Bombyx mori: one gene and its partner. The protein of the gene in region 1 purifies or fractionates together with the protein of each later gene. This does not show direct contact. Links are inferred from orthologs where the notes say so. Each region holds a gene or a part of one and is shown on either strand. Other genes may lie near its edges.

Region 1 (4,561 bases):
TGCATAAAGTAGAAGTCAGAATTTTGTATTATTACAGCTGTCACATTTTTCAGTATGTATGAAGTACACAATTTCAGTATGTGTGTAGTACCAGTAAGTATGAACATTTTGTTTACCCTATATGGTGGTATTTAACCATGCAGGGTCAGTTTTCTAGCTGTTGCTGAAAGACTCCAAAAATTCTAATTAAAAGTGGAAAACTCATAAACAACACCTTCATGACTGACCTGACAGTGTACTAGTCATCCCTCTGACTATTAAGCCGAACATTATGATTACTAGAACATTATTATATTGTATTATTATAACCGAACACTACTAATCGGAATGAAATTACAACAGAACAAATATGATTGCTGTTTCTAGACTTTATTAAGCTATATCAGTCAGTTCATTTGTCTGATGTTTTTCAAATTAATTTTAATAACTTTTTACTAGTTTACCACCATTAAGCCCCAATATTTTACTAATGCAACTACTACTGCAAATAAACATTTAACTCTCTTAGTAGAATAAAGACAAATTGTCTCATCGTTAACCTGATGAAGCTATTGTGGGTTATTAAGGAACGTAGCTAATTTTTTGTTTTGTTATCTGTAACAATCAAAGTACGGAAAAAAATCTAACCTCACTGTAAATAAGCTTATAAAAGAGTTGTGAGGTGAGTAGGTAATCTTTACTCTGATACACATTCCTCTAGAATTGTGGAATATTTGTAGTGAGCTAGTGGTGCATGTTGGATCACTAGTGATCTTGAGTGAACTACGATAACTGTAACTGTGGTTTTGAATTTTTTTTCCATGACAAGGTTAGTTCTTGATTTTGAATAAAATTTATGCATTTTTAGGGTTACACATTGATCTTTCATCAATATATAGCTCTGTGGATATCATAAAATATCGAAAATACTTTGTTCACATAATTCATTGGATACACATATTTAGAAGAAGAAAATAGCTTCGTGATAGATCACATTAATAAAGATTCAGAATAATCATCTCAGTACAATTTTTCTGATGATGATGCAGAAGCAGCAGAGCAGAAATGAACAAGAAGAAAGAGTTATAGTAGATGGAGAGATTGGCAGAAATTTATTCTTTGAAAAAAGCATTCTCTTGTAATTGATTTTTTTTTTAATATCTCAATTTGTTCAAAAGTTATGAATTTTTAATCAATGACTCCATTTTAAGGAGGTGGGTATGTTTATGATGATTAATAAAATCCTCATTTAATTTTTTTTAATCTTCATCGTGTGCTCAAGTTTAAGTATTCAAGAGTTTTCAGGAATTTAATCAGATTTTTTATTACAAATTACGTTTTCTAATGCATCTCAGGTCTTCAGTGACCCATGATAACCTGACAAGGTGCCAAAAAAAGTGATAACCTGATCGGGTTAATTTATTGTAAACATTATATTGGTAAATTATTTCACTATCTTGAACAGAAATAGATGTAAACATAAATAGTTATTAGCTTATATTATTAGTTAATAGCGTATATCATTGCTATTGATGTTAATAATATAATCATAAAATTATATTATTTTTGTATTAAATAGTGATGATTTTTTTTCCACTAAACTTTATAGTGCAATGCATTTTAGATCCAATGATACATTTTCTAAACTAACAAATTTCATCGCTTACTTTCATCTTCAGTGGTATGTGCCCCTTTCTTGATAAAAATGTCCAATTTCACAGGATGATGGATAGACCTTAATATTTTAATACGAATGCAAAGTCCGATTAGTGTGGCCAGCGAACAATGGGGCACTGTTGGATTATACTCCACACGTAAAACGGGCACTTTATCTGCAGTTGGTTCCTTCACAAAGATTCCTTCCTCGTACACGACCTTCAAGTCTTCAAGCGTATTTGGCTTTTCGGGGTCTCGAATTGTCCTCAAATAGTCTAAAACACACCACAGCACACATTAAACACGCAAATAACACAAAAAGTTCGTGCAAAACCACAAATTTATGTTGAAAACAAACCATATATTGTCTCTCTCAACTCATTCTCGTCTTTGTAGCCGAGCTCTTGTAATGTAGCACTTTTGTCCATATATGCGGGCTTAGCGACCTCCACTGGCTGTTTTGAAGAGTTGTTTAAAGATAGTTTGGAGAAAAATGATATCATATTATCGTTCAAATTAAAATTATCACGGGTCACGATTAAATGTCGGACATATTTATTTTTTGACAATTGTAATTGCTGACCTCCGTTTTTTTTTTCACTTGTATCTGCTATTGTGGCAATACTTTTAAGTCCATCTTAATTTTTTGTCGTCTTCAATAATGTTCTACAGAATTTACAGATAGTATTGACAATTTAAAGAACTTAAACTAATTTTACAACAATGCAAGTAACTTTGTCCATAAACGAAAGCCGGTTTACGAACGATAGTTTTACGTGATAACGCCATTAAGATAATTGTTCGAACTGTTAACTCTGACGTCACGTGAGTGGGAAAATAAAACAGAGGCGCTGGACGTAACTTCTCGAGATCCTCCAAAAAGTCCACTGAAAAAGTCTCCGTAAATAACCGCCATTTTACTGAGATTATATTTCATCCCATGTCATTTTATCTCATCTCATTTCATTTCATTTCATGCAATGCCATGTTTCATATTAATCAGCTTCATTTCATTTCACTTCATATTATCATTTTTCATATACAAAAAAGTGATAGTGCAATTTTCATCAAAATTTAAATTGTCTTAAATTAAAAATAAAACCTTTTAATTTAAAACTATTTTAATTTACCAGGACATAAAATCACTTAAAAAAAGACGCCACGCGAGAAGACAGATAAATGTGTCACAAGCCAACGCTTGGGCCGATCGTGCCTCTCTATCGTTTGTTCCGCGCTCTCGCTTGCGCGCTCAGGCTCAGAGGAACGTGACACTCTTTCGTGCGTGCAGGCGGCGTACATCGATTTAGACGTTAACACATCCAAAAACCATCAATAATTGATGTAGACAAACATTAGACAAAGCTTTAATGACTGAAACTTCAAGCTGGTGGCTTATTCATGACGCATTGCCAAAAGGAATGGATACCTCAAATGAGGCTACAGTATACAAAAAAAATAGGCCTTTTATTTTTATCTACATCCAAACAACCTTGAATCAAAATTAAGAGCCTGCATTCACCACTATATTGTCGCTAAACTACTACAATACATTTAATTTTTATTTCATTACCTACATAACGGTGTATCTTTTGCTTAATTGAATAAAAAAAGTTTGTTATCTGACGTGAAACACAGTTTTCTATTTAATAAAAGAAATATTCGTATTTTTTCATAGCCAGTGTATTCCGTCGTGTGGAAGCGTCGATATTAGTAATTGACTGTATTAGAAGATCTCAGGTACTTTACCATCAACATATTGTGATGGATCTATTTTGCATATTTTTATTAGCATAACTTATATCTAACTAACTGAATCTTTAATAAGGAGTAATTTTAACCGAATTAAGATTAACCTTGATAATTAATTAAAACCTTGACATCAAATGTTACGACTATTTATAAATTAGAGTTCTTAAAAAATATGTTACAATATATTGTAATAAAAAAAAATCATTTTTTTTACTTTTAGTTTCTACGATTTAGTTTGGCTTACTCTTGAAGTGTTTGTTTGTTTTTAAATTTATATTTATTCTAGCTGACAAGGCAAACGTGTTGTCTTAAATAAATTTCTAGAGAAATTCTAGTGTAGAAAAAAAAACCTAATTCAACCACATAATACCTCACAATAACAAAATAAAATTATTCAAAAAAATGTGTGCGTGTACTAGTGTACACACGTAAGAAGTGAAACTTGTTTATGGCCTTATTTTTCGAAAAATGATCTACATGCAACTTTCTAGAAATTGGTTAAATAAAGTTAAATTAGATAAAGTTTAAACAAAAGGATTTTATTATCATAGACATGAATACAAATAATACAATTATTTCACTTTACCTTTTTGCTACTAAGATTATTACAGCATTTTAATAATACATCTCTTTGATATCATAATACCCTGGTACTTTTCTTCCTATAAATTAATAATAATAGCACGGTCCACGTGGTGTTAAATGGGGTTCCTGAGGTTCGTGAAGTTTGACCCACCTTGAGACATGAGGTCGATTTCTCAAATCCGAAACCATGCTTCAGAACATACCGCCGTTAATTATTAATAAATCTCTTTGCTATCATAATACCCTGGTACTTTTCTTCCTATTATTTTACGTAATAACAGTAATAAATAGCACGGTCCACGTGATATTATTAAGTGGGCTCCCTGAGATTATTGGAATTACAAAATGATTTCCGTAATCCACCTGGAGACATGAGGTCAATTTCTCAAATCGGAATCCATACTTCAGAACATACAGCCGTTAATTAATAAAGAAGGCTGTACGTCAGAGTAAAGTTATAATAATACATCTCTTTGATATCATAATACCCTGGTACTTTTCTTCCTATTATTTTACGTAATAACAATAATAGCACGGTCCACGTGATATTAAGTGGGTTACCTGGGATTATTGCAATTACAAAATGTATTCC
Region 2 (4,319 bases), on another chromosome or scaffold:
GGGCTGCCCTGACTTTTGTTTAACCATTTATTTATTAATATATTTTGCTTCTAGAATTTATCGTAAGATGAGTCGACTATTATCAAAGCCGGCAATCTGACTTTTGGACAATGATTGGTAAATCAGAAAAACGAATTATTGACTTTGTATTCCATTGGCAGTCACAAAACTCTTCGGAACGACATCTTAGATAAATAACAGGTTAACTATTAACCTTTATTTAATGCAGGTTTTGAACCGTATTCTTTGAAGGAGACGATTATATTCAAATCAATCTGTATTGACATATCAATAATTTTTTTTTGTCCAAATGCACAGATTGCCACCTTTGATAATAGACGACTCAGATATTACAAATCAGCCGTACATGTGTCTTGAAAAATTACAATGCAAATAAGGAAGCTTCATTAATTTATTGCACAGCTGTCTAAATATTATAAAAGAAAATAGTATTGAAAGAATTATTAATTCTCATAAACAATTGTATACTTACTCGCAGTTATGACACAGTCTACATCATGACAGCTAAGCAAATCATTGTAAAATTCCTCCCGAGATGCTTCTAGTTTCTTATCGTAGCACGGCATGACGGTCACGTGGTACACCTCTCCGGGAGTAAGCTCCTTAGTACGGGACAGGTATTGCTTTACCAGAGAACCCATTATTTGTTGTGGGGATTTTGTGGTGGATATGTAGGGTAGTATAAAGTTACCGTGCGTTTTTTCAGCATAGCACACCCAGCCTGAAAATTGTTGATTAGTTGGTTGGTTAATTGTTTTTAATAAGAGTTTTCGTATAAATGTAAATCTTTATGAACAAAGCCACCATCTAACGTCAACTTGAAATATAAAGTAAGATATTAATAACTGCTCAATTTTTTTTTAATTGTTATTATTTTATAGCAGCAGAAATAGGCATATAGTACCAATAATATTTCCAATTATATTCTCAAACTAAAGCATGCTTACCAGGGCACGAACTGGCTAACATCGGAAGATATTTTCCATTGGGATCAGCCTGTTGATCCTGATACCTTTGTACAAATTCTTGCTGTGCTTCTAACAGAGATAAGTCTTCTGCTATCGTCATGTCAAGAACTAGATCTGCTCCAAGACTTTTAAAGTACCCTGTGATAATGAATTAAAAGTTAGACATTGTAAGGACCTCCAAATAACCAAACCATCTTGTAATTTGTTATTACAATTAAATCTACATAACCTTTAGATTTGTCTATGGGACACTTGGTGTTTGGTTACAAACAGAGCTTATTGACATCATATTGTGACTGTTGGTACCCACCTTGTTACAAGAAGTTTCATTGTAATAGAGGAATACAATACATTTGCCATTTATGTATCACATATGTCAAACAAAATCCTCAGAAAATTTATTTAGTATCTACTGCAAACTGAGCAGTTTTTATTTAATTTGTATTCATAGCAAAGTGATGAAATGTGAATGTATTTTGAAACACAATACAGTTACTTTCTGCTGAGTATTTCTGGAATGTTTTCATTACAATATCATTATAAATATAGACCTGCTAATTTATTTGTGGCATGTTCAGGCGGTAGCTTGTACCTAGCTGCTAGTGACAGTATGGGTTGCGGCGACAGAGATATTACTATTAAACTAACATCCTTCACCACTCCTTTACTGTCTGTGTATTTACGGTCTGAAAATACCCTGAAATTAAAATATGTTTACTATGCAAAATATAATTAATAAATTAATTATATTTTTGTTCCATGAATAGGAACTACTATTCATTTAAGTGTCTAGTGCTACTTGTAGGGAGGACTACAGTCATCGCACCTGTTTTTGCCAAAAAGCAGTCATACTTTTGGTTTGAAGAATGGCACAGCTCTTATGAAATATACTTGGATTCAGTGTCTCACAGTGGGTGCTGGCATTCACTTAGTGATATATACAGGCTTCTATAATCTTTCTGGACCAGGTGGCCAGGAATTAATAACCCCGTCAACTCCCCCCTTATTTTTTATACCTTAAAAGTTATTCCTTCTTTAACTTGTTAGGCATTTCGTGATATTATGTTAGAAACTCTCTTTGGTAATGAAAACTCATAGGACTTACTTAAGTAGCTCTTCTTGACTTTGTTTAGTAATGAGCACACTCTCAGCAGATGTGATGCATCCACTGCACGCAAGACAGTCTGCTAAGGTGATTTCAACTTTCTTCAACTTCTGCTCTGTTCCGCTTGACACATCAAAGTACCCACCTTCGCCAATCTTTATTTTGGCACCTGTCTTTGTTTTAGATTTGTCGATTTTGATTGGTTTTACGCATTCCTAAAAATGTTAACTTTATGATAAATTTACTGATTGATTCACTTTCATAAGTTTGCTTGATGTTAATACTTAATACTCAATGAGTTGTTCACTCATTTATTGTTATAGTACTAGTTTTAAATAGAGTATGAAATAGTAAAAAAAACTTAATACGATAAAAACTCTGATTGTTAAATTCAGAATAATTTTTACTTTAAAGTCCCTTTTGTCTCAATTTTGATTCGATAGTTAGTAGTGCTTGTATAAATTATAGTATATTATGAATAATTATATTATCAAAGTAGATTGGTACAAAATTTTAATAACAATTCAATTAAAATGAAATGAATTGTTACAAAAAAGTTATATTTGAATTGTTTTTTTTTTCGCCAGCAAAGGATTTTATTGATAACAAAAAAAAAACATACCTGTGAAGGAGTTATGAAATCGTCAAGATCCGTAAGTTGTAATGCACCACTAAATCGAGATGCCATTTTATTATTGAACAGGCGTCTTGGTATGAAGTAAATAATAAATGTGATGTACGATTAATTTGATAAAGTGCAAGGTTATGACGTTACATTTTATCAACACAGCTGAAAATGACATACGACAATTACGACATTAAATGACGTTTGTGGTTTTTTTTTTCTGTATGAAAAATGGTAAATGATACTTAATTTAAAATACTTCAAAATTACTTAATTTAAATATAATTTAAATAGAGCACTGATCTGGAAAGAGTCTGGCAAAAGGAAGAGAGGCCGCCCCAGAACAACTTGGCGTCGCTCGGTGGAGCAGGAGCTAGGGGTCTTGGGCACGACGTGGGAGGAGCTAGAACAGACTGCCCAAGACCGATATAAATGGAAAAATTTGATTCGAGCCCTACACCCCAGCAGAGGGTAATAGGAAACAATGATGATGATGATGAAATATAGCTAAATGAGGCAATGTTACTTAAATAAACTTAAACATAACGGTATTTTATTTTAATTCATTTGGTTAAAATTGTTGAAAATTAAAGGAATATTCTAAAATTCACATGCTAGATAAGTTCACTTTTGTGTATAGTGGATATTAAAAATAATTTTATATTTAATTTTAATAATATTTTTTTTTTGTTAATTTGCATGAAAATTACGAATGCAAGTTTTTCTGTTAATTAACTACAAAAAGATAGTTAAGCCTAAACATCACGATGGAAATACCACCAACCACTTTGAGAGTTGCTGATTTACTTACGCTAATAATATTTATTACACTAATGCATAATTTTATATTATATAAGTTTGTGACTCTTACTTCACTGGTGCAAACATATTTTTTTTTAGAAAACCGAGACACGCTCTTACCTTCTTTCCGCACTCTCGAAGTTAAAATCGTAAGTCATCAATAGACGTCCCGCAGCAGACCAGCATGACAGCCTCAATATGCCCATCGTAGCCGACTTGCCGCGCTTCCTGTTCCTACGACATGCATCCTCACTGCCTCATCAAGCCTCTACAACCCATCGCAGCCCACGATCCGGTCATCAACACTTGGGGTCACATATGTCCGGCGTGGCAGCTCTGTATTAACGGCTTTATGGCGGCATTCAAAACTCAGTCTCGACTCACCGGAGAATTCGAGTAACACTGGCACTAGCAAGCTAATCTCAGCACGGACAATGCTAAATTAATCGCACGAACTCCGGTCTCGGGGGGAGTAATGTAGCGGTAGCCATAATAGAATACCTACAAGATATTTGACAAATGCATAAATCTTGCTAGCAATATTTCCAAGATAAGTTTGCATATATGTATATAAGTACCGAACAACAACTTTCGGAACGTCGGTCTATCGACCAATTTCACTCGCTCGGTGGAACATTCTCGACTTTGTCATTAACTACCAAAGAGACAGCAGTATTTTATAAGGATTCATTTTTGGAACCCGAGAAAAATAAAGTGAAATAAACAATGGGTCTTGGTAGTTATCTCGTGTTCATACGACTGCCTCGTCCGCGGCCACAAAATCTGTAAGATATTCGAA

Evidence for each region.
Region 2: the proteins of MIP18 family protein galla-1 (region 1) and probable cytosolic Fe-S cluster assembly factor GL21135 purify together in Homo sapiens (affinity purification with mass spectrometry; 4 studies listed by BioGRID and IntAct, with this or other methods). This does not show direct contact. The link is inferred for Bombyx mori from reciprocal best matches to the Homo sapiens genes CIAO2A and CIAO3.

What each region holds. Positions count from the first base shown.
Region 1 is NC_085134.1:8,479,297-8,483,857, forward strand, and holds the start of MIP18 family protein galla-1, read right to left. Parts: upstream 2,850-4,561; 5' UTR 2,139-2,849; coding exon 1,994-2,138; intron 1,911-1,993; coding exon 1,647-1,910; intron 1-1,646. UniProt on the Homo sapiens protein: Component of the cytosolic iron-sulfur protein assembly (CIA) complex, a multiprotein complex that mediates the incorporation of iron-sulfur cluster into extramitochondrial Fe/S proteins.
Region 2 is NC_085116.1:15,949,950-15,954,268, forward strand, and holds the start of probable cytosolic Fe-S cluster assembly factor GL21135, read right to left. Parts: upstream 2,898-4,319; 5' UTR 2,783-2,897; coding exon 2,717-2,782; intron 2,310-2,716; coding exon 2,095-2,309; intron 1,687-2,094; coding exon 1,541-1,686; intron 1,128-1,540; coding exon 969-1,127; intron 743-968; coding exon 494-742; intron 1-493.